4 linked regions of the Struthio camelus genome follow. The protein of the gene in region 2 interacts with the protein of the main gene of each other region in a biochemical or structural test. Links are inferred from orthologs where the notes say so. Each region holds a gene or a part of one and is shown on either strand. Other genes may lie near its edges.

Region 1 (7,006 bases), on a different chromosome or scaffold from region 2:
TAAAATGAGAAGCTCCGAACTCACAGCAAATTAAAAAAAAAAAATGACTGAAAGGCTTAAAAATATTCAGTAGCAGCCAAGCGCTCAACAACTTTATGCATGTAATCTGCCTGAAAGATCACACTCTCAGTCAAGATCCATTTATCCTATCTTTCTTTAAAAAAAAAAATCTTCCTTCTAACAGCAAGGGAAGAATCAGCATTTCCAGGCAAACTAGTTTTTCAACCCAGACTTATAGAGGGATTAAAAATGGGGTTTATACTGGAACGTGGCTGCTCCACGAAGTGCTCATAAAATTGGAACAGATACCTAGCTGTTACCTAGGAAACAGCAAAGTAAAGTCCCATGTAAACTATTATGGTCATTTAACAACCAGAAATTCAGAAACAAAAAGAGTAGCTCGGTACAGAAATGATTTACTGCAGTCTAGAAGATGAACTCAGTCCCTGAATACACAAACTTCATATCCTTGAATCAAATGAAGCTTGATACAAGCCTTGAAACTTGTGATTTAATTGCAGAAAGAATTTTCAGGTTTTCCAGTGAAATACTATGATTTGCCTTTATCTAAATACAAATCTCAGGAATGGTAACATCTGCATCTTTGAGGCTGTGGAAAGTCAACAGATAGTGTACATACCAAAAAAATATTTAAGATTGAATCTTAAAATAGATCTAAAAACTCCCATGTTCCTGACTTAATAATATTTCCATACAGCACATCCCTTTCTCTCCCTTTGATTTTAACTCAGGCGTGACAAATATGAAACATGAAGGTTTGAGGGGATGGGGGGCTTTAAAACTCTGCTCTTAAATAAATAGAAGCAGCCCAGCAATTCAATATATCTGGAAAAAAAAAATCATACTACATGACCTGCTCCTTATCTATGCTAGCATATTTTCCCTCTCCTCGAAGTTTCCACTGTAGTTACTGCTGTTGCAGCTCTAGTGGCATCAGCTGGAAACACGAATCAAAGAAAGCTGAGCAGGCCACTAGTGTTTTAGCCGTCACATCATGTAAAATTGCTCTGAGCAGGATGAGACAATGATGTACTTGAATGACAGCAGCTGTTCTGCGCAGGCATTGCCACAAGTGGAGCTGTAATCACAGCCAGGTGCAATGGTGGGAAATTTGGGGGATAAAGGCTAGGCTTGCACCTGTGGCATTCTACAACTTCCAGCCATGCAATATTTGTTTTTAAAGACCATCTGTCATTTTGACAAGTTCCCTATCTGAACGTCACTGAAGCAAGCTGCCTTTTGTATTTCTTTAACAAGGCCTTTCTCCTTTTTGTACAACATCCAATTTCAGTCTATGCTTCATAAACAGAAATGGATATGGTAACTATGGTGTCCTAAGCACTGAATCGTAAGAATTCAGAACACTCCTAGTTACTGTGATCAAAGCTAAATCCTTTAGGAGGATTATCCACACACACAGAAAAAGAAAAAAAGAAAAATCTTGCAACTCGAGCACTTTTATACAGTATCTTTGAGATAAAGTGTGATTTCCCACGTTATTGAGACGTGTTACCTCCAATTGTGTTTACCTACACTGAAAACATTTTTAATAGAGGCTACTGCGCTTCTTTGTCCATCTACGTAGCCTTAGGCCTGGCAACTAGCTGCGAACGCAACAGTCTGCAGACAGAGACCAGCACTCGGAGGCTATTAAAAGGAAGACTTATTCGAAAAGGGAAAGACATCCTCATTAAACACCCATTTCAGCAACAAAAAGTCCACGCCTCACACCCGTTCCAGCAACAAAAAAGTGCATGCCTAGCCAGCGAGGGATGGCAGACGCCAAACCCGCTTGCTCCCCAGCACCTATCATGCGAAGAGGCAGAGGGGCAGCGCTTAAAGAGCTGACGATGATTTCACCACTTCTCTAAAAATATCGCCGGGCGCGGAGTCGGGGGGCGGGAGGGCCGAGGCGCGGGGCAGGGAGCCGCCGCCGCCGCGAGGCGGTGCCCCGCGCCCTCACAAGTTGGCCGCCGCCCCCACCCCCGGCAGCGCGCGCCCTCGGCGACCGTTAACCGCCGCTAACCGCCGCCCCCCGCACCTCACCCGCCGGCGGCCTCAGGGAGGCAGCGCCTGCTTCCCCAACCCGCCCCAGCCCGGTCCCGGCTCTCGCCGCCGCTTCTGCGTTTCCCAAACAGTTCTGCTCTGACCGTTTCACCACGGCCAGCGCTCCCGGTAACCCCAGCTGCGCCGCGGCAAGAAGCACCAGCCGCGGGACCACGTTTATTGTCTTTTAAGATGGGGGCAGAGGGGAACAACCCAACGACACAGAGCCACCGGCGTGACCCTCCGCAGGTGCCGGGGCGGCAAGCGCTGAAAACCCGCAGCCCGACCCCGAGACCTCCGCCCCGGCGCCAGGGAAGTTGAGCGCCCCGGGGTCGGCAGCCCCCCGCAACCTCCCGCCCCCGCCGGGCACGGGCACGGGCAGCGCCGAGCACCTACCCGGAGAGCTTCCCAATCTTCACAAAGCTAAATACATCCATCCATGCAGCCGGCCAGCTCTGCCCGTCACTCACTCACTCACTCCAGCAGCAGCGGTGGCGGCAGCAGCAGCAGCAGCAGCTCCATATCGGGGAGAAGGTTGCGTCCAGTGGCAGCAACAGCCCTTGCAAAGGCAGGAGCCGGCGGCGGAGGCTGCTACCCGCCTCCGGCTGGGAGCTGGGCGTGCAGCATCTCGCAGGAGCAGCATTCATCTGCGCGCAGCCCTCCCCCGCTTCTCGCGCTGCCTCCCCTGCCCCCTCCCCGGGGTAACCGAAGGCATGAGGAGGGCGGTGTGGCCGCCAGCCCGGGCGCCCGCCGCTCCGCGCACCGGCAGGCTGAGAGGGAGGCGGCCGCGCTCCGCCGCCCGCTGCCTCTTTGCCGTATCCCCGCTGGAGGAAGGCGGAGAAGAGCGGCGGGGTGCGGGGGAGAGGGAGGAGGGGGGGCAATCAGCAAGGTGGAGAGGGGGAGTTTCTCCTCTCGCCGGCAATGTCTCCCCCTCCTGTGGGGGAGCGCAGCGCGCAGGCGGCGGCTGCCCGTTGGCTCCCGCCGCCCGTTGGCTCCCGCCCGAGGCGGCGCTGCGGCCGCCGGCAGCGGGCCGAGGGGCCTGGCCGGCCGCCGAGGGGAGCTAGGCCGGGCTGGAGGCTCCTCTCTGTTGGGGCGGGCGGGCAGGCAGGCAGGCCCGGCGAGGGGGAGAAGGCCCCTCCCCAGCCGGGGAGAAGCACCCTGGTCCTTTGCTAGAAGCCTGCTGCCCAGATCCCGAAAGCAAAAGTTGGGGGAACCGGACAGCCCTCTTCCACCACTGAGGATCTCTCCCCAGCGATCGTGCCTCGCTGTCCTGCCATACTTCCCCCTGGGGCAGAGGGAAGCCCTGGTGGCCTCCTTGAGATGTTCCTCAACCATGGACCACTGACCGGCAACACGGTGGCAAATTCACTGCCCTGCTGTCGCCAGAGGAGGTTGTCACCATCCCGTGGCTTCTTTATCCATGCCATGTAAGAGATTTTGAGGAAAGGAGTCCTCCTAGTTGTGACAGGAGCGCTGCAAGGCTGAGTCATGACAACATAGCTAAGCGTTCCTCATCCCATGTTCTGTGGGAAAATGGTGTAGCTGACGTCCTGACGTTCACAAGAACACAAGGAGACAATGTTTTCTTGTGCTTTTGCCCTGCATAAAGCTTCAAAATAGGGACTGGAGTTTAACTGCTGTCCGTAAGCTTCCTGTGAGTGAGCAGGACAGGAGCTTGGAGAAATTCAAATTCGTTTTCACATATAGATGTGCTTCGAAGCTCTACACTACGGTACAATAATTCTCAGCATGGGAATGCATATTCTCCTCTTCACAATAAAGTGTGTTTATATGTGTCTTCATTTGCTAAACAGATTCATACGCTCTTTACTTCCCACAGTTTCTGTCTCCTTTGGAGGCTTGCACCTAAACTGTCTCAGCAACCAAAAATTTCAGAAATGACAATAGAGGCCAATATGTAGACTCTAGCAGCTAGAAGAAAACAATGCAATTTTTTTAATATTAAAGCTTTTATTGATAAGGGAACAAAAAGAACAGGCAGTACGAACACTCACTGTGCATCAAGTTTCAAACTATTCTTTAAAACAATAACAAAGAATGATTGATTATCTATTTACACTTGGAGAACATTAAACAGCCAGCTAAAAACACTTGCAGACCTACCATAGATGTAAATGCTTTGTGCATATTCTGAAATACTGTATGAAGTACTTTATGCTAGTACATCAAAATATTTATGTGGGTCTTACGTGCAACTATATTTATTTATTGTTATACCAGATTTTTTAAAACGGCAGAACCTTTGCCTGTCATTCACATTGCTCTATTGATTGACAAAAGTTACAAAAATAACACAGTTTCAGCTGGTTAGAAACTGCGTTATTTATAAAACTGTCATTATTTATTTATAGACTAAGGAGATAGGCCAAGATCCTACAAAGCAAACTGATGCTGATGAAATGATATACCATATATAAAATTAGGCACATATGCTCTGTATAAACAAGGTCCCCTATCTTAAGTACTTTACATTCCAAGGCCTAACACACAATGGTGCCTCAAAGCGTAGGAGTGAGAGCCAGAGAAGTGAAGATGTTTTAAGGGTTCTGTAGCATTTCTATACTTTCAAGGTCTTCTGGTGAAACGGCAAATATGATCCTAGGATGCATCGACTGAGGTATTTCCAGTAGAGACAGAAAAGCGGACAGCATAAGATCTGACCAGAAATGCTGTACTCAGCTCATTCAGGAAGTGTGTTTGAGAAAAATGAAAGCAGGTGCAGGAAAATACTAAAAATGTTAAAGGTAGCGAAGTGTGCCTTACGAGAAGAGGCTGAAAGAGCTTAGCCTAGCAAAACAAAGACTAGGGATGAAAAGACTGCTGTTTATAAATGTATCAGTGTGATAAACAGAGGATGCAGTACCCAAAATGACTGGGCTTAACAGAAAGTCATTACAATTCGAAGCTGAACTGAAATTATTTTTCTCTCTTGCCTTGGCATTCCAAAGAGATAGATGAACTATTGCTATGATTATAATTACTTTGATATTTTTGTTTTCCTGAGTGGAAATCGTTGCAACCGTACAAATTGTCCAGAATGGCTGTGGAGATACTGTTGGGACAGCCGATACCCTGGAGATCCATTAGTAGCAAAATCACAGGAGTCTTATTCCCAGATGTGCAGACATGAGCAGAGAACCCAAACAAGTATACTTGTTCCAACTGTGCTAAATACTGGAAGCTTTCTGGATCTGTGCTAGGTGGGAAACACGCGTGGGGGTGGAGATTGGAATATCAATCACAACACTTCAGTTCATGGTTCTTTGGGCTCTGGTGTCACAGCAACCATGTATAAAGCTATCTCAGCTGTAGGAAAATGATAGAACCTGCCAACCCGGAGAAGCAAGGTGGAGGACGTTGTTCTGTCTGTTTCATGAGTAAACATCAATTAATACATGTAGTTTGAACTGGTTTTGGAGCTATCATCTGTAAATGATCATATTTTGGTATTATGCCTTCCTTTGCAGGATATGTCAACTAGACAATGCCATGACTGAACTCTTGCAAACATATGTACTTTTTTTGTCACTGGTGTGGGATTCTTCTCACTAACTACCAAAAATCGGGGTTCCAGCCTCAGTTAGTCATTCCCTGTCTCTGTGGCGGACAGGCACCTATCACTCCAACACATCTCATTCTAAAAAAAGTGACATGAATTGCCCTTTGGAGATGCTCTATTTTCTCTGTCAACTCCAGTGGAGAGGAGGCCCTAGGTTCCTACCTTTGACTAGAGGCCTGTCTTCTAGATGCCTAAATTTAGGTCAGATAAAACCCATTTGTGGGTGACAAAGGTACATGTAAACTCTGAATGAGAACAGACAGCTCAAGACAGCAGAACAACGTGTATTTAGTATCTCAGTAACAAACAATAATTGAACATGAAGTTCCTAATCTTAAACCAGGAATTTGACATCAATTCCTGACTGAATGTTTTTTTTTTTAGAGTAGAATTCTAAGTCTCTATTTTTGAGGATGCTTTGTTATGGTATACTATGACCTTTTTATTACTTTTGGCTGAAGTAATTCAATTAGGACACTTAATACTAATGTTTTCTGTAATCATAGATATCCTACTGTAGATCATGGGCCAGTAAAAGCCATAATTTCATGTAGTATGGCAGTTTCACCTATAGTTTCATTTATAGAAAAGGGAGTCTGCCTTATTTTATAATGCTCTTTGTTCTAAAGAAAGTGACAGACGTAATGTATGTAGGAATGTTTTGGCATACTATTAATAACATAAAACTAATTAAATCACTCTAAAAACTATTAATTTTTTCAGACATCTAAATTCCTTGGGTCCTAGGGAAAATGCTGTGAAGATGGGATGTAAATATCTTTATGAATGAGATCAAAAGCCGTTTGTTTGTGTGTTGCTGTATTTTTGGGATTTTTCTTTCTTCATTCGGAGGTACTGAATGCTCAAAGAAAAATATGAGTTGGACTCTCCTGGCTACCATACTGCACAAACTTTTTTAGCCCTGCAGCTTCACCAGTAATGTTCATTTTACTACATTTGCTTCAGTACGATTTGATCCTAGATAATTTAAAGGACGTCAGGTAAAATCTCACACCAAAGACATAAAATGAAACCTCTGGAAATGACTGAAGTCCACTTATTCATTTTAATACTTTTGGAGGTCTCAAAAATTTTCCTCTCAGTTAAAAATCTACCTCTACAATTTTTTTAAGACTAGTCTTTTTTTTTTTTAGTGATTTGGAATCTCAAAGAGATACTTAAAAGCACTGTATTTCACCTTTAGGATGGCTTTTAACTCATCAGGTTATAATGATAATTTATTTCCTGAGATAACAACTGAAGGTTCCATGATTTTTTTCATAGTGCTTGATGATATTATTCATATCCAAATGGCATAAATGTTTAAAGGAGTGTGATAAAAAAAGCCATTGGTTAATG
Region 2 (7,799 bases):
CAAGGCTCTCCCTCCTATATTTTAAAGGAAAAAAAAAACTTTTGCTTTTCCTTCCTTTTGTAATAAAAAGACCATTTTACACCATTACTGAAGAAAGAGCTTCAAAGTGGGAAATTGAATCTCAGACAATTGTTTTAAACCGCCTGTTTACACAAGCCATTCATGTAGAGAGATTCCCTGCTGAACTGAATAGCATCTCCTGGGGCAACACCTTGGACAATTCTGATTTTGGTTACACTGCTAAAATAGCAGGAGAAAGCCAGGAAAAATAGACAGTACAGTGTCAGAATATTTTAACTACACAGAAGGATGACTACTGAAATTGCTCTGGATCTACAAATTAACAATTCCGACAACTGTACTGCAGAAACAATCACTGAAGCACATCAGCCTACACCTCCACAGAGCAAAGAAATCCAAGAAAACAGCTGCATGGTAAAAGCAGCGGAGATAAGGAGGGTGCTAAGAGCCCGTGCTGAAACTACCTGATCTTCGCTCCTACAGGGAACAAAACCGAGCCTTTTAAAAGACTTGTACAGCAGCAGTGTGTTCAGGTGGTGTTACTGCATGCGCTTCACAGGAGAGAGTTTTGTAAGCAGTATATACATTACTCACTAGATCACAGCAAAGGTCAGCTTCTGTCTGGCCTGCACCCTAGGAAGTCCTTATGTTGTGTAAACAAATCAAGGAAAAAATGTAGATGAAATAGTCCCAATTCAGAGCTTAGAGAGAACTTTACATTGAGACGTTGCAGGTATCTCCGTAAGTGGTTTTGCTGAAGAAGAAACGCAGCTGGGTTATACCCAAGAGAACAAGGAGGCAATGGTCCACAGCACGTGAAAACCCTCTGGGGTAACACCTCCTTTGCAGTTTTCACAGTAATGTGGACAACATCAAATAGTTTCTCAATAAACACGGCTGTAGACCCAAGCAAAACTGTCTCTGTTGCCCTTGCTTTAGTGCACAGAACCTGTTCTTGAGCTTTGTGCCTAACTTCATGCTGGAGCTGGTTGTTCACAGCTAATCCTCAAGTGTGTTTCCATTACCTGCAGTGACGCTTCCCTTTGCTCCTCAGGATAAGAGCAAAAGATCCTCGGTGCCCCAAGAGACAAAACCATGTGGTACCCAAAGGGCTGCGGGAATGATCAGCCAGCAGGGCCTGCGGCCCAGAGGGAAGGCAGCTGGCACAGGGCAAGGCACAGCAGCGTGTCCCAGTGCCAGCCACTTCTGGGGCAATGAACTTTGGGCAAAGATGTAATCGCTTTCTCAAACACGCGCCAAGGGCATTTTTGAAGCTGTACATTCTCGGAGGTCTAGCAACTAAATTAATCCTTGTGAAAAGACAACGATTAAAAGCATGTGAACGCGTCTCTCTCCATGAACTCGGTGTCCTGGGGAACCTTGTGCTCGTTGTGACCACTCCGGTCCCCGGCATCTGTGCTTGGGGGACACCCTCCCTCCTACGCGTACCACAACTGTGCTCTGGGCTCGCTTCCTGAAGCTGCTTCTTACAAAACTCTCCCTGCCACCCTGCAGGAGAGTGAAACGAAACCCTCCGCTTTGCAGGGATGCGGCACGCTCGCACCGCGGGCCCTCAGCACGGGAGCCGACCCGGCGGGGAGCCGCAGCCCCGCACAGACAGGGCAGCCTGGGGGCTCCACCGTCCTGCACGGACGGGGCGGCCCGGGGGCTCTGCACGGACGGGGCGGCCTGGGGGCTCTGCCATCCCGCACGGACGGGGCGGCCCGGGGGCTCTGCACGGACGTGGCAGCCTGGGGGCTCTGCCATCCCGCACGGACGGGGCAGCCCGGGGGCTCTGCACGGACGGGGCGGCCCGGGGGCTCTGCACGGACGGGGCAGCCTGGGGGCTCCGCCATCCCGCACGGACGGGGCGGCCCGGGGGCTCCGCACAGACGGGGCGGCCTGGGGGCTCTGCCATCCCGCACGGACGGGTCAGCCCGGGGGCTCCGCACGGACGGGGCGGCCTGGGGGCTCCGCCGTCCCGCACGGACGGGTCAGCCCGGGGGCTCCGCCGTCCCGCACGGACGGGGCGGCCTGGGGGCTCCGCCGTCCCGCACGGACGGGGCACGTCGCCAGCCGTCTGGAGGACGAGGGCTAACGCCCGGGTGCCCGGCGGGGCAGGGAGCTCCTCTAAACGAGGGGCTAAACGCTGAACACGCGTCGTCGGGGATCCCCGCGCAGCTCGGGGGCGCAGGGCAGGGAAAATAAACTCCCGCCGCGGGAACGACACCCGAAGGAGAAGAAGCGGCCCTGCGCCGGGAGGCATCTCCGCCCCCCCCCCCACCCCCGACCCGCTCGGCTCCACCACCCCTTGAGCAGCTGCCCCCCGGGGAGGGGGGGCAGGCGAGGCTGCCCGGCCCCTACCTTCCAGCAGCACCTCCTTGCCGGCCCGCTTGAGCGCCTGCACCGCCTCGTCGTGGGTGGCATCACGCAGGTCGGTGCCGTTGACGGCCAGGATGGCATCCCCCACGTAGAGGGCCTGGGTCTGGTCGGCCGCCAGCCCCTTGAAGATCTTGCTGATGAGGATGGGCATCTTGTTCTCCTTGCCCCCCTTGATGCTGATGCCCAGCCCGCCCAGCTCCTGCTTCAGCACCTTCACGCACCGCTTCTTGTTGGAGACGGCCTCGGGCACCTGCTCGGGGGGGTCGGTGAAGGCGGTGCGCACCGCCCCGCCGCCGCCCTCGGCCCCGCGGCTCCCCGCCGCCGCCGCCGCCGCCCCATCGCCGCCCAGGCCGTTGTGCGCCGCGCCGTCGGGGCGCTCCTCGCCGCTCAGCACCAGCGCCTCGCCGCCCAAGTTGGCCAGCACTTTGTGCCAACGCTCCCGCACCAAAACTTCCAGCCAGCCGCTGCGCTGCCCCCGCCCGCCGCTGCCGCCGCCGCCCGCTGCCGCCGCTATCGCTACCGCCATCTTTGGAGCATGCTGGAAACGGCGAGCCACGGCGGCCCCGGCGCGGCCCCGGCGCACCGGACTTCACCCGCGGGGCGGCGGGCGCGCTCCCTCCCCGCGGCGGCGGCGGCGGCGGCCGAGCGGGGCGGAGCGGGGCGGAGCGGGGCGGAGCGGGGCGGAGCGGGGCGGAGCGGCCGCCCCCTCGGGCCGCACCGCCCGCCCCCGCCGCCGCCGCCGCCGCCGCGCGGGTGCGTGTCAGCGTGGGAGCAGCCCGCCCGAGGTGGCCAAGGCTACGTCCGAACAACCGGGTGGGCTGCCGCTTCCCAGCCGGGCCCACTGATAAAAGCAATCGCCGAAGTACTCACGGTCCCCGTCTCCCGACTCGGGAAGAAGGGAAAACGCAGATTACCCCGTTCTTTACTCTTTTCTATAACGGGTGGCTCTCCTCGGGTGGAGCCTGCCATCATACACCGCTGGAGGGACCTCCTGAGAGACAGTTAGCAGCTCGCCTTCTGAGTTAAGGGCATGGAGCCGTGAGGGAAAATAAATCAATGAGGATCTGCGGGTATTGGCAGAAGAGGTTTAGCTAAAACGTGAGTTTGTTTTCCCCTGTGTGAAGGAGAAAAAGAGAGGCCTCTCTTTAAAATAGGTGGATTGAAACACATAGGTGGCACAAATATCCTCTAAATTTCAGTTGTATCAAAGTAGAATGAAAGCTGTGGCAGTATCCCTCAAGGATGAAGGTAGTGAATGACAAAGTCAATGGGAGCTGCACAGTTCATCCTACCCCAACCGCCCCCCCCCCCAAGCATCACTCCCGCACTCGTTGAACGGTGTAGGATGAAGGTAGTGAATGACTGTCAGGGATGCTTTTGTACGTTTTGAGGCTGTTTTCTTCACCCTTTCATGACCAGGTTTTAGGGCCTGAGAAGGCTGTGTTTCCCTCTTCGCAGACCCGCGTTTCCCATCCTCCTGGGAAGCAGTTCAGGTGCCGGTGCAGGCCTCAGGGCTCCAACTCGGGCGCAAAGGAGGACAACACTGCCGCACTGAGGACCTGGACCAGCCCTGGCGTCGCTGGCTCTGTGGCGGTGCCACTCTGTGGTCCCTGCATAGCTCCTGAACTGCCCTTTCGGTGGCCTGGCTCCCGCTTCGTTCATGAGCTGGATTGAACCGCGCAACAGCTCTGGACTGTTCAGTGTGTGTGGGAGCAACGCTTTGGGGGATTTGGGCGTGTGGTGCACAGTGAGCGGGAGGTACAGCTCCCATTAATATTAATTCCCCTTAACGTGCTCCTCAGAGCACGCGGGGCCTGAAGTGCAGCATCTTGCTCCTCTCTAGAGCAGTGCCGTTCACTTCTGACGCTGCAGTTTTGCTTCTGGGTAGGCTCTGGGTACACTTCTGGGTACGCTGCTCTCAGGTTAACGGGCTGAGCAAAGGATCTGCATACTGGCTATTCCCCTCGTGATCGTGCCTCGATTTAGCAGGGTCTGTAGGACCACAAAAAATGCGTTCCCTTCCCAGCAAAAGCCGGTGGAAGGGGGCCCCTGTCCTTCATCGGCAGCCTGTGGTGCCTCCTCCCCTGGCAGGAATGCAAACCGGGGTGGAAGGAGAGCGCTAACCCACAGGCCGTGGGTTATTCAAGGATAGCAGGTGGGTGGAGAAAGCAGACCGTAGACAGGTTTCTTAATTTCTCACGTTAATTAATGCAAGGTAGAAAAGCTATAATTAAGTATTCAGGGCTGTGAATCCAGAGTGTCCCACTAAACCTGAATAAGATGTCTAAGCCCTAAGAAAGGAATAGGGTGTAACACACCCTGTTCTCCAGTATTTCCTGCTAGCTAATTTAGGTAGCTCCTGTGCAGCATCCTGGGTGGTTTTTTTAAATCCCATTCCAAAAGGTGCCAGGCTTAGAGAATTAATGTGCTTATTGGGTTCCAGCAGCTTCAGTTACTTGAGAGCAAGGATGAGGAGAAAAGGAAAGGCGTGCAAAAATTAGGTGTTGCAGTGCGGACTATCACAGCACTCAAATTGCTCTGCAGCTGTAAGTGACCAGGCCAAGTTACAAAATCAGGCATTTCTGTTTCTCAAGGGATTAGCTCTTACCCATTATTTCATATTCTTTCCTATGTATTACTAAAGAATCAATGCTACTGCTAATGGAGATGTGTCTCTATGTATTTTTTAAAGTCATTCCAGAAAATTTACAAGAAAAAATGATTTCTGTCCTGTCATTAAAAAGTAATGCAGAATGGAAAGGAAATTCTTAATGCTTCGCACTTTTCCATCAGTATACGATGCAGCTGGCCCGTGTTTGCTCAGAGTGAATGGTTTTCCTGTGGAGTTCCCGTGGAACAGTGTTGTATAGACAATTCACTGCATGTCACTGAGAACTGTGCTTGTTCCAGCTATTTTCCTTTCCCACTCCAGCAGAGATAAATAATAACGTTTCCCAGTGCCAGCACCTGAGGTGTTAGTGCCTCATATGAAAGAGTCTTTATAGCAATCTTCGTTGCCTCCTCCTCCCCCTTCATCCCCACCTTGGAACTGTAAGAAAATAGAGGTAATATTGTAGTTTTAAAAATATAAGTAAAAAGAAGATAGTGGAAGGGATGCTAAGGTACAGTCACAAGGCAAACAGTCTCCTGGGTTGTCTCGCAGCCTGGAGACAGGCTGCAGTCATTGATACCTCAAGTCTTTGCTTCTCTGTCCCGGGAGGTGCTAGCTCCTATTTGCATGCACCCCAATAGCAACTTGTGGCTGCTGAGTATGGGGAAGGAAGAAAAGGCGTGATGAGACTTCTCCCCTCGATCCCAGCCAACATTACCGTCCTTGACCCTGCCTCAGGTCTGTAAATCACATCTAGAAGAGCAGCTTCTGAAATGCAGGTTAATATAACAGGAGCAGGCGCAAAAGATAAAAACAGATTTGTACACAGGTGTATAGCTATTGAGTAGTCAGGTTAGCAACAGAGAAAACTGCTACTGCAAAGTCCAGTGCTGGTCCCCAATGGTTTTTAGGGCACGACAGGGTGCAAACTCTTAGTCTCAGCCAAAACTTCTCCTCCTGGTGATGTATGTGACATAAACCATAATAACCCCACTGCAATAGGAGTGTTCAGGGTAGTCGTGACAATTTGCGAGGAAGCCGAGGTGTTAGGTGGGATGAGCAGAGGGCTCAGTACCTTCCCTGCTCCAGCCTCGAGTGTCTAGAAAGGCTTCCAGTGCAGGCACAGCTTAGAAAAAGTTGCTCTAGATGACCTGCCCTTTTGAAAGCGTCTACCACAACAAGCGTACCCTTTCAAACAAGTCAATCATCTGTTACCATTTATATTTTAGGAGCACACAAAAGCCTGAACTAGATCACGGCCCCTTTCATTCATGTAATATAAACAAATTATTAAGCCAGATAATGCTAATAGCTGCTGCTGAATCGATCTTTGGTCTACGGACACCTGGGTGTTCATTTAAGGCCAATGGGCTAGGCGGAAGAAGTATCAGCAAAGTGGAAGAAGAGAGGCAGTTGGAAAACACAGAAGCTACCTCCAGTGACAAAGATCACCAAAGTAAATCCAGGTCACAAGCAAAGTGATGGTACCTGAGGAACTCTTTGTTTGCAGAAGCAAGGGGAAGGGCTTAGTAGTTTGTGAGCATGCGAGAATAGAAAATATAGGAAAAGCAATGCAGAAATGGTTGTGACTGTGACACTGAGGAAGTTCTTCAGACACAGCTTTGACTGGAGGGACGTATTGGAGACAGAAATTCAGGCCACTGTCTGCTCTTCTTGTTTTCTCCTGTTTTCAGGCAAAGAGGTCAGTATGCACGTCTTATGTAAACAAACTGACTTTCTGACAGCAAGAACACTGCAAGGCCACATATAGGACTTTTGAGAGACAACTCAAACCCATATAGCGCTGCTGTCCCTCCTTCTTTTGTTGCCAGCCTAGCAACAATTATTCAAAAGCAGTTCATCTGAAATTCTTTTTAACTGGAAACAGGAGGAATGACAAGAGTTCAGACAAAATCAGGCCTGGATAATGACGTTCCCATATTGTTACCCTGACATCAACCAGTACGGCAGACGGTTCTGGACAGGAAGGAAGGACGGCATTGGAAGCCCAGTGCTGGAAGCCTGACAAGTAATGAGAGAGCTGGAAAGGAGTCCAGTTCCTCCAGTGATCCCAAACATTGCAGGAGCCAAGTTTAAGTAAGTCCTGCTGAGGAACATGCCAAAACTATCCCTCCTCACTCCCCCAGGGAAACCACTCCTCTGCGTGCTGGGATGCAGCAGTCCCGGCTCCAGCCATGATGCGGATGTCTCCATTGCACCAGGAGGTGGACCTCTCGCTTGACCTGGGTCATCGCTTGCCCGAGGCATTGCTAGTGGGGGCTTGCACCCTCTTAACCGCTCTGAGCAATCCACCCCTTAGCCTTGAGGGAGCCTGCTGGCTTTCAAGTCAGCGTGCGGCTGTCGTTACTCATTGTCTCTGCTGGGGTTATGAAGATGTCAGGAATGCCTGAAGACCTTCATAATCTAGAGGTTGCATTATGGCTTATTTTCAAAACTGTGAAAGCATTGTTTTTCTTCGCCTAGTTTGAAGCTAGCCAGGTTTTTACGCACATCATGGCATTTAAAAGTAAAATGAATGCACAGTTGCCTGCCAGCAAACACTTTCTGGATGCAGTTTTTCAAAGCAGGAACCTACTTGTGCGTACATGAAAGAAGTATGCGTATGAAATTTGTATGTGTGCCTACCTGAGTCACATGTCAGCTAGGCAAACTGAGAAAATGTTCCCACAGCTAGCAAGTTATGGGCCAGGCTATAAATGAGCATATTTCTATTCTGCACGTCCAACTTTGGCACAAGTGAACACAAAAGCAAGAGCCCGAGAGT
Region 3 (7,551 bases), on a different chromosome or scaffold from region 2:
GACTCTGCTCAGAGGTCACAGAAAGAGACAAACACAGAATAGTTGCAAAATAGTTGGCAACAGCTCCACAGAGGAAGGGCGTGGACACAAAAGAGTATTTTCAAAAGAAAACTAAGGTTTTTATGTAAGCTTTACTTCTCCTTGTAGTAAGTAAAATGGATTTACTTCCTTCATGGCAACGTGTATAAGTAGACAAGAACAGACTACGAACATACTTTTTGAAGGTGGAGATAGAAAGCTGTTTCAAGAAATAATATTCTAGCCGTTGACAATCCAGCAAGATTTTATGTTTACTGGCATTATATACAAATTTAAAGTACATGTTACAGAACTAAAGTATTCGTATGTGAATTAGTAAATCAAGAATCAAATTAGCTTGTTCCAGTCACGTGAAAAATACCTCATAGAGACAGATGCAGACAGTAAGGTGGGAAGATGCTTGATTTTTCCAAGGGGCCTTGTATTATCATCTTTTTTCCACTCATGAAATTCATGTTGCCAGTGTCTGGAGTGGAAGATCAAGGTCACTAGCTGGTCTCCCAGTTCCAAAGGATGCACCCCCTTCACTTAGGGTCTGGCCATCAGCCCATGGTTTATCTCCTGACAAACTAACCTGGGCCATTTTAACTCTGTTGATAAATAGTTCATTCTGGGTTGAATTACCATCAAACTCTCTCACCAGAGTGTAAAACTACTTTTCCTAGGCAGAAATCCTCAGGAAAACGTAGCTAGCTTATTCGCTGTTCTCTTACAGTTCTTCCTCCAGCACAAACGACTCATGTCCCAACTGGAGTGTAAATTGAGTTCTCAGTCCTTGGAGGGACTAGAAGGGGTACTGTACACATCCTATCTGCCCCATATACTTTGCAGCTGATAGCAACCTTCCAACATATTGAAAGGTGGCACTTTAAAAAACAAAACAAAACAAATGTTTCTTCATGTTAACAACCTTGCCAACCTTCCCTTTACAGGATAGGCATTAAGAAAGTGTGATCTTCCCATCATTAATTATCTTCCAGACATGCTGCCTTAAAGAGTTCTTATTCTCTTACTCTCTTTTGTTCTGCAGACTTTAGAATAAATATAGGTCGAAAACAGAAACATCGGGTAGCGCTCCTTTTTAAATCCCTGTCAAGCACACTTTGCCTGGGCTAAGGTATGACTGTAGTATCATACTAGTCTCATTGTAGCAGACTGTCTTTGGGAAAATGCTATGTCATATAGCCACCCAGGAACAGTAGGATACTGAGGCTCTGGCATTTTGTGACTCCAGTATAAGATCTGGCAGCTGTGGATGTCTCTAAGTATCTCCTCTCACTCCTTTCACAGACACTTGCAAGGTTTTTTTCTTAGATAAAGTCTCCCATCATATGACAGTGCTAATTTCCTATTTTTTTTCGTAAGTTTATCAGTTCTTCTATGTGGACTGCTTTGTGTGACCTGATGAGGAAGGGTGATCTTGTATTTGACCAATGCTGTTACCCCGTCCCACCTACAGCAAAGTATACGTAATATCTTACCTGAAGGAAAAACATGGGAAAACCAGCACTGGCCAATTTTGTCTTTGAATTTAAAATATCTTAAGAAAGTTGCTCTATCTTCTCTACCTTCTTGCTCTGTCTTCTGATCTTCTGCACAAGTGAGATGTTAGCTTGGTGCTGGCTTAGTACTTTCATCCTACAGTATAAAAATCATCCTCTTCCTCCCCTGAAAAGGAACAAGTTAATAACAAAGCATCATTTTGCCAGAACTAGACTGAGGAAAAAGGGGCTAGGGATCAATAGCAGAATTGATCCTCATTGTATTAGAAACACATATATTTAACATTAAAAATAACAGACCGGCTCAAAACTGAGTGGAAGACAACACTGCTCTAGCCTTCTTACCCATACTGCATTTCACTCTAGCCATCATGTGAATGGCAAACACTGCATAAAAGCGGAATCAGAAATTAAAAAAAAAGTCTTCTGAGACTATGTTTTTAAAAACAAATCTGTATCATTAATCTAACACTTGACACAAGGTTTGTATTACCTGCCAAATGTCAGAAGATTGGTTTCCAGTCTCACTAAGACAAGGAGTCAAACAGGTCATCTATCTGCAGATAGCAGCACTGGAAAACACCTATACTATGGAAGGATGTTAGACTGTGCCAGCCTGGCCTCTAGTAAATTTGCAGCCCTGCTCTGCAGACAATTTTAGAAAGCATGTTTTCCTGCTGTATCTGACATGTAAATAACAACAGGAGGAGGGCAGGGCTGCTTTTCCAAATCTGATATTTACATACAAAAAGGTCTGGACCCACGGCAACTACCAAAAAGGCAACAGGAGCAACGAAACTTGGCCAGATTGCCCCTTTCTAGCTAAGCCACAAACTGAACTCCCGTGACAGCCAGTCTGAGTTATCTAACAGCAGCAACATTGCTCAGGGGTGAAGTCAGACGAAACAAAGGCTTTACCAGACCCCAAAGAACAAGTATTTTAATTATATTCATACAGAGAAAATGTAAAATATCTTTTAAAGTAGTTCCTTGCATGTAGTTACGCATGCTGGACCAGGCCTATTGACCGTAGAAATATTGTGAAGGTTGCTATTCTCCATAAACCAGCACTGCAGTTGTTCTAAGCTGCTCCTTGAACAGTTTCATACCACACCAGACACGCATAGGACCACTTGCTCTGAGCAACCAAGTCAAGCGTGTACTTGTTTCTATTTAAATATATTAAATTCTATTGAAGCTTTGGGTTGATCCTGAGATAAGGATAAACTGTAAGTCCACAGCTGTACACCTCTGTGCAAAGGTAATTTGGAAGTTCTCCCTCATACGCCCTGCTCTCATCAAACCAAATGACAGCCCCTCAGGGCTGCGGTGAGGGGAATCAAGGGTGTAAGGGGGGGAGAAAGCCATCAGTCACTTGCCCCTCCCTTCTGCTACTGTCAAATGCTTATGCACGCAGCGAGTTTTAGCGAGAAGTGGCCGTGTATATATAGCCTTCCGTCTAGACATGAAAGATTGCCCCGTCTTCCCTGCTTCTTTTTTCAGTGCTGCTGCTACACGTGCCCTTTGTCTTTGCAGCTTCTACCACCTACGACAACCATCATATATTTCTCTGCTCCACTGACCCATTCTCTTCCATTTTACCGGCAAAATAGCATTAATTGCAGTAAAATCATTCTGTGGCCTCTAGGAATATAGCTGAATGCAGTTTTTTGCCTTTGTCTGTAGTTCTCATTTCTTCCTCTTTCCATTTGTAGTATTTACTTTTTATTAGGTAATAGTTTCATGTAAAAGTCAGTTACATTCGGCACATAACCCCTAATGCAAAACAAGCCCGGATGGGAGTGCAAAACCATAAGGTGTATATTCACAAAGAGAAGGCTGGGATATATTTGCTTCCAGCTTCACAGCAAAGACTCTTAGTTTACTCCTCATTTACACCAGTAAATCAATACGTAACACAGCACAAGTTTCCCAAGCCTCTGCTGGGAAGCGGTGGCCTCCTCACCACACTCACCATCCATTTTCTGCGGCCAGCACCTACTCCTCACTCCCGGTTCCCAGTTCCACCTGCCTTCGCCAAGCCACTACCCTGCTGCAGAAGTAACACAGCCACAGATTTGATGGAGAAAACACTAGAATTGAGAAGAGACCTTGAGCTTTGCAACTACAGAACAATAACATATATATTGCTCCATCAAATCCACAAACACAAGGCAGTAGGCAACTGCGCCAAGAGAAGCAGATGGATCTTAAGCACGTCTTTAGACAAGCAAGAGCCTCAGCACCTGTTTCTATGCACATACACACCCTGCTGCAACCGGGCTGCTTTTGGGCACGCACACTGGATCCGGCTGAACGGTTCGCTCGCTTTCCCAGCCTTAGCGACACCTTAGCATCCCTGCGTCCTGCTGCACCTTTGGGGCAGTTATGTTACCCCTGGTCTCTGAGTGAAGGGTCGCAGATGCTCAGCTGCCTGCTCAGGAACGGCGGAGCAGGGACAGGTAGAGGCACCTGCCGCTAGCCACACCGCTGCGGGACAGGGAGGAAAAAACAAATGTGAGAGGGAAACGGGGCTGAGCTATTGAAAGAGCTGCAAGCAAGGAAGGCACAAAGGCAAGCTACGACGGAGATGGCGTGAGAGAAAAAAAACAGTAAGGAATTGTGCTTTAGCCTCCTTCCCTATTTGTTTAGCACCTGCTCAGGCGAACGACCCGTTTACCCTGCGCACACGTTGGGCTGTCCGGGGGTGGACCGCACTCTCCTCGTCCAGGAGCGCTTGGGGCACAGCAGGGCCGCTGCCGGGCCGGGCCGGGCCGGACCCCGCCGCAGGGCGACGGCCGGGCTGGGCGCTGCTCCGCTCGGCGGGCACCAGGCCTGCGCCGCCCCTTCCCCGCAGAGCCTCCCGGCGTGGCAAACGCCTCGCCCCAGCCTGGTTTTTAGAGGCGCGGGGCTGGCAAGCGGCGGGCGCGCTGTTCGCCAGGCGGGGCCCTGGCCGGAGGTCGGTCACGGCGGGGGTGGGGGACGTGGCCGGCCCCCGCCGGGCCTCCCCGCCGCCGAGGGTGCGCGGGAAGAGGGGCAGGGGGAGGGGGCAGGCAGCCGCCGGCGCCGCTCGCCCAGAGCGGCGCTGGCTGAGGGAGCCCGTCCAAGCCCAGCCCCTCGCCTCAGCCCGGCGCGGCGGCGCTCGCCTCGCCCTCTGCCTCCAGGGCTCTTTGTGGGAAGGTGCCGGCAGGGGGCTGCAGCACCATGTCCTCCCCCAAGAAAGGCTTTTACCGGCAGGAGATCACCAAAACCCTCTGGGAAGTACGGGACCGCTACCGCGACCTGCAGCCTGTGGGATCCGGTGCCTACGGAGCCGTCTGGTGAGCGGGGCAGAGCAGCAGCCGGCGGCGGGGGGCCACGCGCCCCCTCTGCCCAGGCCCCTTCCCCCGCCCCCGGCGCGGCTGGTCCTGCCCCGAGGCGGGAGGGGGCTGCGCCGCCGGTGGGGAGCCGCGATGGCGTCGCCGTGGGGCTCCTGGCGGCTCGGCCGCCGCGCAGCCGGGGGTCGCGCCGGCCGCTTGCGCTTTGTTCCCCGACAACTTTTTTTTCCCGGGTGTTTTACCGCAGCCGGCCTGGCGGCGCCCGGTGCGGGCTTTTGGCGGGGGAGGTGTGGATATTTTTGTTGTGGTGGTGGTGGTTTTTAACGTGCCTGCCCGCCCTACACGTGTTTTCCTCGCTGGAAGGGGCAGGGGCCGGGGCGCGGCCCCAGGGCTCCCCCCGGCAGCAGCCACCGCCGCCAGGCGCCGGCTGCCCCCCGGGTTTGTCCCCTCGGCGAGGGGCTACCCGCTTCTGGGTTTTGTTTGTTTGTTTTTCCGCCTGTCTTTAAAGCTTTTGAAAAGCGGCAACTTTTCATCGCGGGGTCTGGCAGCGTTTAAACTAATGAGACCCTGGAGGCTGTGCTGGCCAGGGGCTTTCGGGGAGGTGGCGTCCCCCTTTTCCCTCGACGCGGTAAATGGCGGCGCAGGGAGGCCAAGCGACCGGCAGGTAGAAAGTCGAGGTCTGGGCGAGGCGGCGCCAAACATAGGCACCTGCTTATCGGCAGTGGGGTTTGCCACAGCCCCTTCGGCCCTCGCCCGCGAAACGCTCTTCCTGTTCCCTTAAAGCTCAGCTGTTGACGGAAGGAATGGTACCAAAGTGGCCATCAAGAAACTGTACCGCCCGTTTCAGTCTGAACTCTTCGCCAAACGAGCCTACCGAGAGCTGCGCCTCCTGAAACACATGAAGCACGAAAATGTGAGTTCAGTCATTAGCAGATCCCCTCAAGGTTGCTGCGGCTTGCAGGCACCAAAAAGAAGTGTGATCTGCTGCTGTCCCCTGATCTGCTGTCCCCTGCCTCCATAATACACCAGCCCTGGCAAGGCAGCTGAGTACCTGCATAGGATTCAGGAGTCTTTCAGCAAGACCTGTGTGTCTGTCTTTTGTCCGTCTGCCTTTTAACCTGCAAATACCAGTTCAAGCAAACTGGAGCGTCCTGTGGGACGCAGTTTCATTGCAGTCCATGTGCGTGAGGTTGGGTGGAGAAGGTTAGGACCGCGGTGGGATTTGTGCTCAAAGCTAGAGGGAGAGAGATTAAGAGACCCGAAATCTGAATCTCGATCACCACACGCATGAGATGTAGGAGAGTGGGAGAGTGTGGATCTGTACTGCTAGCATCTCTTTGCTTGAAGTTGGATGTGGCATGCACGCCTGTCTCTCGAGGAAGAGGTCTGGTCTTGCCTTTCATGAAGCGTTTGAAAGTTTCAGGTTTGTACTAATGGGAAATGGGAAGAGTTTACGAATGAGTAAAAAAAATTGCTTTAGAGGCATAATGTGTCTTCCTGGATGCTGAGATAAGGAGGAGAGATCTGTGTGAAAACAGTTTTGTGGGATGAAAGCATGAATGGAAACCAGGTCAGAAAGATCCCGGGGTGGGACTGGAAGATCACAGTTAGTGGCTTTAAATGCTATTTCTGAAGAGTACATGTGAAGAAAGAGTTTCAGGTGACTTTTAAAAAGATAGATACAAGAATCTATTTTAAAATGCTAATGATGTGGGAGATTATAGTTTTCCATGGAGGCTATTTGAGCAGAGCTAAGAGCTGGAAGGTGAGAATGAGAGAAGCCAGTAGTAATAGCAATAGCCAGTCGTTGCCATTGCACGTTGCAGTGTTAGCATTCTGAGTACCAGCAACAACTAGGTTCATTTCGAGGAATAATCTCTACGATATCCCGGCTGTCTGGAGAAAACAGACCTTACTGTAGGCTTATGAACCCGTGTGCCTGTTTACCTTTTAGTCTGACTCTTTTAACATATTTGATCGTTTTACTTGAGGAATCCTTAGAAATAACTGCTTTTTACCATTGTTGTATATATGTTAAAGAGTTAATGTTTAACTTGTGTGTCATACAGAGTCTTTCATACTCTCAGCATTTACTGTACTCAACATTTGGGAGCAGATCAGCTCATGCAGTTGCCAAACTCCTAACTGTCTTCCGAATTTTGAGATTATTTTTCTTCCATTTCTCAGAATAATTTGTTCTTCAGGTGGCTAGCGTTTTCCAGTACTGGCTCTTTTTGTGCTGCATATGCCCTTCAGGATAATACTCTGGAACCCTTCCATAGACTTGTTTGGCAATCAAAAGAGTCTAGAAGAAAACACACACTGAGGAATATGAGTGCAATCTGTACAAGTTACAGATGAATACGTAGGAAGGAAGGGAAGAACTTAGAGTCTTAGAAAACATTTTGGACCACAGAAATAAAAATTCGGTCTAGGTACTGAGGAAAAGTTTCATCATGACTTTACTCGTTAGAGAGCAACGAGTGAGTAAATGGTCATGCAAGGAATTCATAGGCATTGTGGAGACAGAAACCAACTGCTCCACCCGTCCAAGATGAGGCTGAAATGGCAGTACAACCCTTCTAGAGAATTTCCATCCTCCATTCCAGTCTCATACCATTCTACCAGGCATTTTGACCACTGTGAATGGGGAATAGCAGCAAAGCCCTTTAGGATTTCTAGCCCCTTGCTGA
Region 4 (7,696 bases), on a different chromosome or scaffold from region 2:
CATATATGTGTGTATATATATATGCATACAAATATATATATAAATACATATATGTATATATCTATATATATGTATTTATATAGTTGAATTTTCTAAAAGCCTTTGATAAAGTTCTGCACCAAAAGTTTTCTAATGAACTAAGTTGCCAGAGATCTAGAAGACAGTTTCTTTTATGGACTGAAAGCTGGTTAAAGCGTAGGAAGAAAAAGTGTAGGGCTTAATGAATCAGCAGCGTGGTCTCTAGGGCTTTGTGCTTGGTCCAGGTTTGTTCAGTATCTTTGTCAATGACCTGGAGAAGGGTGTGTGCAGAGAAATCTCCAGGCTGGCAGATGACCCTGAGCTTTTCAACACTATGCTGAAAAGGTGGCAGATGATCTTTAGTGTAGTTTCATGTAAGGTGATGCAGCTTCGGAAAAATAATCTAAACCATGCCTATGTGATACAGAACTTGAAACTAGCTGTTTCATTCAGGAAAGAGCATGTGTTTGGCATTGGTGATGGAGTCATTGTTGACAGGCTACTGAAGTCATTTCTGCCTTGACTGGAGCAACATCCGAAAAAGCCAACAAAATGAGGGGCATCATCAAGAAGGCTATGCAGAAAAAAGCAGGGTGCATCTTTGTATAAAACCTCCATGCATCCCTGCCGTGAACACCGTGTGAAGTTCTAGTCTCTGCACCCAAGAGGGACATAACGGAGTTAGAGGAGGGTCAAAGAGAGGTGAGTGAAATGATCAAGAGACAGAGCAGGGGCTAAGAGGCTGGGACCCTTCAGTGTGGCAGGACAAGGCTGAAGAAGAATGCGATCACGGCTTACAGACGTGTCGAAGTGTCAGATGGTGTGAATGCAAACTGTTGCTCATGGGTCCTGCAGCACTAGGGACACTCAACAGACTTGATGGGAGCCTGTTTTCAACCAGTGAGTACAGCTGGTATCAGCTGGTCCAAAACAGGGTTGGACAAATTCAAGGACAATAAATGGGAAATAAAGGACTAGGCAGGGATATACCCTCTAGCACCCCTAAACAACAGTTAGGGGTGCTGGGGGAATACAATGGCAATGCACTGCAGAAGGTGATCCAGCTCTCATGGTCTCTCTAAACAGCATTGCCTGTCACCACCATCAGAGACGGAATATTGGGCTAGACGGTGGTTGGTCTGAGCCACCAGCTCATTTCTTACAGTTGTACTCTGCTCCCAATTTATGCAACACCACCAACTCAGTTGATCAACTCAACAAAAGTTGGTCAACTCAACTCAACAAATCAACTCAATTGATTTCTCTGTGTTGCTCCTACTTTCTGCTTGTGAAGTGAAACCAGTACCAACAGTGATCCTAAAAACCCTGTATGACTCTGTAGGTCAAAAAATTATTACTGGGAAAACCGTAACAGTCAGTAGCCCTGGGCTTTCCCAGTTCTGGTAGAGGGCTAAATCAAGAACAGCCAAGTCAGCCCGTAACTCAGCCGACAGCGGGAAAGATTTCTGCGCCAGGCTGGAACAGGAGGAATCCCTCCCTTTGGGGAGGTTTGTTGGAGGGGTGCTGCTGCTAAAGGTGTGAGGATGAAATTCTTCATGTCCAGACTGCTGGAAACTTTCAAGTGAAGGTTCTGATATCTGCCCTTCTGAAACGTCGCGCTCACCAGGAAGCGAGGAACTACCGAAGAACCTAATTTAAATACGGTGTTGCACATATGCAAAGTCAAATAGAGAAATCTATTCATGCAAAATATGGTTCTGTGTTTAGTGATAAAGATACAGATAACGATAATATCTTTATACAGATAAGATACAGATAAGACAATATCTTTAGTGATAAAGATAAAGATAAACTTCTGGGTAGCAAGAAAAAGAGATGCTCTGCACGTCTATCACAATATGCCTTTGTCTGAGGAATACTTCAGACACCAGAGTCCCGTGTTTGTTATCTGAAGAGGAAGGTTGTTATGATATCTTTGCTACATGGGAGCATTCATGTCAGATTACTTGCATTTGTTGCCGCACTATGAGAAAAAAAGAGAAGCTCTAATTTTTTTTAAAGTTCCCATTTGCTTTCTTTCTAGCACACATTTTATGTTTCAGGAGCAGCATTACCAAAAATAAATATAACAAAATGTGATGTCTGAAATTAACACTAAATTCAATTCACTGAAACGTATGGCGTTTTATTAACTTTTCTACATGGATGATAATAAAAAAAAAATCGAGATCTTGACCTTTAACACTTTTTTGTTTTAAAAGTTTGCCATGAACAAAGTTTGTCATATTGGTCTAGCTAAAAAAACAGGACTCACTCAGATCCACCACTTGATTGCTATCTTCTGTCTGGTAAAACTCCTACTTACATCAAGTCACACTTTTTTCTTCCAAATAAAATTTTCAAGCCTGGCTTTAGCATAAAGAACGTTAGTCAGTGATTATAGTTGCTAGCAAAAACAAAGCTTACAGCAAGTAACAAGAAACGCAAGTAAGTTGCATTTTAATTATTACAACCATTTTTTATCTACATCAGAAAAAGAAAAAGCAGACAAATCTTGTCCTACCTCAGCTTTTCTGCCTTCTGGTGTCTTCGGTATTTCCTTCTTCTGCTTTTTGTTGTTCACAACTTGCAGCTTTGTTAGTGCAAAGGAAAAACACAGAAACTTGAATCAAAAAAACACGAGTGCTATTTATGCAGAAGCCACAGAGGGGTGATGAGCAGTAGGAAGGGGAAGTAAATCCTTATTAACAGATCTTATATTTTCTTAAGTGAGAAATGTTTTCAGCTCAAGGAGTGGTACTAGTAATCACATGGCAATGTTTTATACTTTTCATCCAATGAAAGAGGCCCTGCAGCTAAGCAGTGATCTTGGACGCCTTTTGGATTTCTATATTTGGGCTCTCACTTCTGTTTATTTGCTTCCGATACTCACAGTTGATGGATGTTTTTGGAAATCATGCTATAAAGCTTAACACGGATCATTAGGGACGTAGTTCTTGGAATTATTAAGACGACACATGCCAGCGGTTATTAGTCAGGCTTTTTACTGCAGAAAGCACATCAAAAACATCATCATAAGCAGGCAGCCAGGAGCTGATGGGTAATGTGACTCAGCCCACACTTCCAGGGTGAATTTACAGAACCGAAGGACTAGTTTTCCTTGAATTTTCATAGGACCTGAATACACAGTACTGTTAGGTCATGGACACGTGTCTGCAGCAAATGCCTTACCGCCCCTTAACATTTTACCACTCATCAGTGGATCGGCGTTAAATGGGTGCTCCTAGCCCACTGCAATTGAGCAGTAGGTATCTGTGCGCGCTGTAGGTGTAACAGGTTGGTTATTCCTCCTCTGTGGTGTCAGCGCACACCGGCAGATCAGATGTATTCAAGTGTCTCTCGGCTGCTATGTTTTATTTCCTAGCTGCCGCAGGCTAGGCATCCACGCAGGGTCGTTACCATTGCTCGGTGAATGGAGAGTCTCCTCCTAAAACCTTCTGAGCACCTACATTTGTAGTCGTCTATGCTCCCAAGCTCTCCTGGTAATCCCGCTTGCAGCCTACCCTACATTGCCACCTGTGTCTGATTCTCATTTATAGCAAGATCCCTTCTCTCTAGCTGTATAAAGGACCTTTAGACCAGGTAAAAATTGCCCTCTGGGCGTGCTCCACATGGCAGGGGGGCTGAGTGGGTGATGTGCAGTGTCTGCAAAGACCTGTGTCACCAGACTTCACAAATCTCTGCATAGAGGGGGGCTTGCAAACACAGCTCAGCATTTTTTACTTCATGAAGCTGAAAAAGGACATAGGGAATCATGTGCAGGACTGCTCCAGCTTAGCTAAGGGTGAGGCGAGGACCTTCAGTCTCTGGAGCAAGCTGTGAACATTTGCCCACGTTTGCCTTGACAGTGCAAAGTCCGTTTAAAATGCTAGCAATCCCTTTTAAATGAATTTGCGAGGTGCAGAGTGACAGTGAATTAGGGGTCCTCTTGAGACCGCTCCACGGGTGCCTAGCACAGACATTGCAAACTCATGCGGCATGTAAGGCCGTAGGTTTGTGTCCCTTCCCAGTTGTGGTGATGCTGGCTGGTATGGTTACTCTCACAGCTGTCTCCCCATCTGTCAAGCGTTGCTGGCAGAGCCGCACAAGTGCATGTCCCCGGCCACGCTTTGGTCAGTGAAGCAGGGTACCTTAGATACCTGAAATAGGGGGTCTTCGCTAACGTAGCTCATTTGAACTGCAGCAGGATAGGAAATGACCCCACAAGCTGCTTGGCAGGCAGATTTTGGGGCAGAGACCTTTAGGAAGAAGCTGTGACGTGCAGCACGGCCCCGGCCAGAGGAGAACTGTGCCCGCTGGAGCCATTTGGAAGATGCCCCAGTAATTCAGACTGCCTTTTATCTGCAACAGGCAGAGATGCTGTGATGACTAATGTTGGCATTGCAATAGCAGCCTGATGACATCTGCATCACATGGCACGCTGCGATAATTGCACTGGGACTGATAAGCAGGTTGTTCACAGACACCAAAACATGTGGAAGAGTTAGGCATTGATCACATTTTGTTTTCCTGAATGCGTTTTGAGAATGCCTCTTTCATCACGTGACACGCTTGCCCGGATAATTTGTTACATCCACCTTCTTAAAAGGCCTGCTTTCTGGAGAGTACTATTTCTTCTCCTTACCAAAGTAATGCTGTATTTCCTTTCCAGATTGTTTCAATAAATGGGGTCAGATGCCAACTCACCCTGCACCTGATAAGCTGGAGCTGGAGTGACTGTCTGGGATTTTTTAGAAACTGTCGTTGAATGACTCAGCTTCCGAGAGGAGTTTAGCACGTTTTTTGTTCATACAAACTTCAGTAATTCTGCAGAAGCCATCTCAATATCATGAAGAATAAAGGATTCTCATCGCAAGACACTGTGCACAAAACACATTCAACAGTTACCAGCCTAGATTTTCTCTGCATTTTAAGTCCCATTAAATGCAGAGATGGTCCAAGAAGCAGAAGCAGTGGAGCTGAGAGTGCAAACCACTAGGCTAAGCTGCAGTTGTGCTCACTCCTGCCTCTGTTTCTGTTCCCTTTTGCACTTCTGGCTCCATGGCAGCCCAGCTGCAAGAGAGAAAAGCAAGAGGGGGTGACTCATCCTTTCCTTTGCCCTCCTTTGCTTGCCCACCTCTGCCCCGGCACAGTGCCGGGGCGCTGCCCAAGGACGAGGGCTCAGCTCCCGCCAGCCCGCAAGCAAAGCCACCGTTGCAGGCTTTGAATCCCCGTCGCGTGAAGCAGCTGAACTTTGGACCTGAGCGAAGCATTCCAGGCCAAGAAAAGGCACAAATCTGAATTATTTCTATCAGCAAGTTCAAGCATCCTTGTGGCCTGAGCGCTCCCCGATGGGAGCGCCAGCGGAGGAGCCCATCTCCTGCGCTCACTGTGGGGGGCACCTAGCTCGGCAGCATGGACATCCCAAACTTTGAGGCATCGTGGTGCTGCACATCACGCTGCTACGTGCCCTGTAGGGCCAGGCCTCCCCCTGTAGCTGTACTGAAGTTGAGGTGATTGGGGAATTAATTCTCCAAAGGGGCAGTTTAGGCATTTTTTACCCCAAAGTGGTTTTCCCCTCCCAGGCACCTCTGCAGGCCACATCCTATCAGACCTGCTGCTGGGCTTCCTCCTGCCATAAGGCTGTTTCAAACGTCTCCGTGCAGTGACTTTCTGGCCCCCATAGAGCTGCTGTTGCTGCTCTGGGCAGCAGCAGAGCAGGTATCTCATTGCCAAAGCAGTGCCTGGGGCCCATGGGATGATTTGCCAATTCACTCTTCTCACTGGCTAGAGAGAAACGCCAGGTTTTGCCCCCTAAAGTGAAGGCAGCTGCTGTTTGAGGACAAGCACGTTGCCTGGTGCATCCATCCGTGGTTGCAGTCACGCGGGGCAGGCTGTCCTCCGCTTCACACTGCAACACAGGAAGCAGGGAGCTGCCTTTTTTGGCCACGGGGATCTGAAACCCGCCTGGGCAAGGCTGGGTGTCTGACGCACAGGCCCATCCAAACAGACCTGTAAAAGCACATCGCGCTGCTCGCAGGGCGTAGCAGGCAGTCGCACGCCAGCTCGTTCAGTCGGGCAGCCCCGCTGCCGCCCGGAGCAAACCTCGGGGCCGTGCACGGGAGACCTGGCAATCCCCAGCACCAAGGGATCTCCTGTGAGGCATCCAGTGACTCACACAGTGCAGAAGAAGGAGTCCATATATTTTTCCAGTTGCTCAGGCAATGTTTTGCTGTCTGCAGGCGTGAACGTCTAGTGTCGGAGTTTCACCTTCACATGCCAATAGATTTTTTGGCAGAAAGGGATATATCAAACAAACAGAAAGGATTACCTTCACTGAAGATTTTAATGCCTCACGTCTTCAACACAGCAGCTTAGCCTAGTAACACATATCTATTTCCAGAGACTAAAATTACAAAGCTTACATTCATTTTCTGTGCAGTCGAGAAAAAAAAATAGCATCAAATGTTAGTAGCTCATTTGCTGTCAGCCATAAGGCTGGATAGCTGGGAAGATCAAGGTGACTACTGCACGAGGAAGGGGGTAAAGAAGGAGGGGTAATCTTAACAGGCATTATTCGAAAGGAAAAGCACAGAAGGTTTTCAAGCTGTTCCTTTTGCAACATCAATAATGACATCTTTTTTAATTGCTTGTAGTCTTTTCTTAACAGTTTGCTGTTCCTCATTAATATACTAATGAAGGCAGAAGAATGTTAGCATATATCTGGAATGGAAAAAGACATCTAGTATTGTCTACATGTAAAATAAACTGCCTTTTTAAAAGTATAAAGTACTAAAACTGGAGAAGTTCTTTCACTGCCCCTCTAAAGGTGGTGTGTGCCTTGGGAAAAATTGATTGTCTTCAAAAGCCGTGGAGCCAATGGCAGCTGGCAGCATTAATGCACTTCCTAGAGTTTAATCGATCCAGTCCTCAACTGTGAAAAGAGTGAACTCGAGCAGGACAGAAAGCCAAACACTTTCTAAGGCCTTCATCTAAAGCCCATTGAAGTTATTGGAAAGAATAGAGCCTTTTTTTGGATTAAAACCTAAAGAAAACAGCCCCAGAAACTGTGACTGGAAAAAAAAGAACAGTGGTGTTTTTTTTTTTTAGGAACTAGCCAAAAGCATTTCAGTTTTAACACATGCAAGGTTGTCAGTGTGCCAGGAATATTTACTAATATTCTGTCTTCTCTGCATAGCCTGTCTTTCGAAACCTCTCTACTTCTCTATCCATCTCTCTATCCAGCACCATGTGGGTGTCACAGGGACCTTTTGCTTGTGTTATGCATTTCAACTAATTGCACAAACTGCAATTGCAACCTCTGTTATTTCTGTTTTCCATTTTATGTGTTAGACATGACAGAGTCGCACATTGATGGGAGTATGCAAGTGCAGAATGTGAAGGATTTGGCAGTGATTTAGTTACCCCTCTCTTAAGATATGACCACCTGTAGACTTATCACACATACATGTTGGCATGTGTATGGCATTTTACTGTAAGTTACCTACCCCCAAACCCGTCTTTTGATCTGTGTTTACCCCACTTTAAATGTTCTGCATGTCCCGTGCTATTCTGCTGGTCTCTCTCTTTATACACATCTAGAAACCAGAAGCAAAGCAAGCTTCCTCTCTTCCCTTTTTGCTGACTCTTCTATAATAGCCGTAACCCAACAGCTGGA

The links.
Region 1: the proteins of SNTB1 (region 2) and FRMPD4 interact in a test that uses a peptide from one of them, tested with the Homo sapiens proteins (2 studies listed by IntAct, with this or other methods). The link is inferred for Struthio camelus from reciprocal best matches to the Homo sapiens genes SNTB1 and FRMPD4.
Region 3: the proteins of SNTB1 (region 2) and MAPK12 interact in a test that uses a peptide from one of them, tested with the Homo sapiens proteins (2 studies listed by IntAct, with this or other methods). The link is inferred for Struthio camelus from reciprocal best matches to the Homo sapiens genes SNTB1 and MAPK12.
Region 4: the proteins of SNTB1 (region 2) and CYSLTR2 interact in a test that uses a peptide from one of them, tested with the Homo sapiens proteins (2 studies listed by IntAct, with this or other methods). The link is inferred for Struthio camelus from reciprocal best matches to the Homo sapiens genes SNTB1 and CYSLTR2.

The regions. Positions count from the first base shown.
Region 1 is NC_090942.1:141,381,800-141,388,805, forward strand, and holds the start of FRMPD4 (FERM and PDZ domain-containing protein 4), read right to left. Parts: upstream 3,006-7,006; 5' UTR 2,505-3,005; coding exon 2,464-2,504; intron 1-2,463. UniProt on the Homo sapiens protein: Positive regulator of dendritic spine morphogenesis and density. Required for the maintenance of excitatory synaptic transmission. Binds phosphatidylinositol 4,5-bisphosphate.
Region 2 is NC_090943.1:159,111,241-159,119,039, forward strand, and holds the start of SNTB1 (beta-1-syntrophin), read right to left. Parts: upstream 3,015-7,799; 5' UTR 2,930-3,014; coding exon 2,386-2,929; intron 1-2,385. UniProt on the Homo sapiens protein: Adapter protein that binds to and probably organizes the subcellular localization of a variety of membrane proteins. May link various receptors to the actin cytoskeleton and the dystrophin glycoprotein complex.
Region 3 is NC_090942.1:22,879,245-22,886,795, reverse strand, and holds the start of MAPK12 (mitogen-activated protein kinase 12), read left to right. Parts: upstream 1-4,551; 5' UTR 4,552-4,745; coding exon 4,746-4,861; exon of another isoform or gene 4,862-4,938; intron 4,939-4,952; exon of another isoform or gene 4,953-5,417; coding exon of another isoform or gene 5,418-5,535; intron 5,536-5,641; coding exon 5,642-5,771; intron 5,772-7,551. UniProt on the Homo sapiens protein: Serine/threonine kinase which acts as an essential component of the MAP kinase signal transduction pathway.
Region 4 is NC_090942.1:192,358,836-192,366,531, reverse strand, and holds the start of CYSLTR2 (cysteinyl leukotriene receptor 2), read right to left. Parts: upstream 3,019-7,696; 5' UTR 2,912-3,018; intron 2,797-2,911; exon of another isoform or gene 2,612-2,796; 5' UTR 2,543-2,611; intron 1-2,542. UniProt on the Homo sapiens protein: Receptor for cysteinyl leukotrienes. The response is mediated via a G-protein that activates a phosphatidylinositol-calcium second messenger system.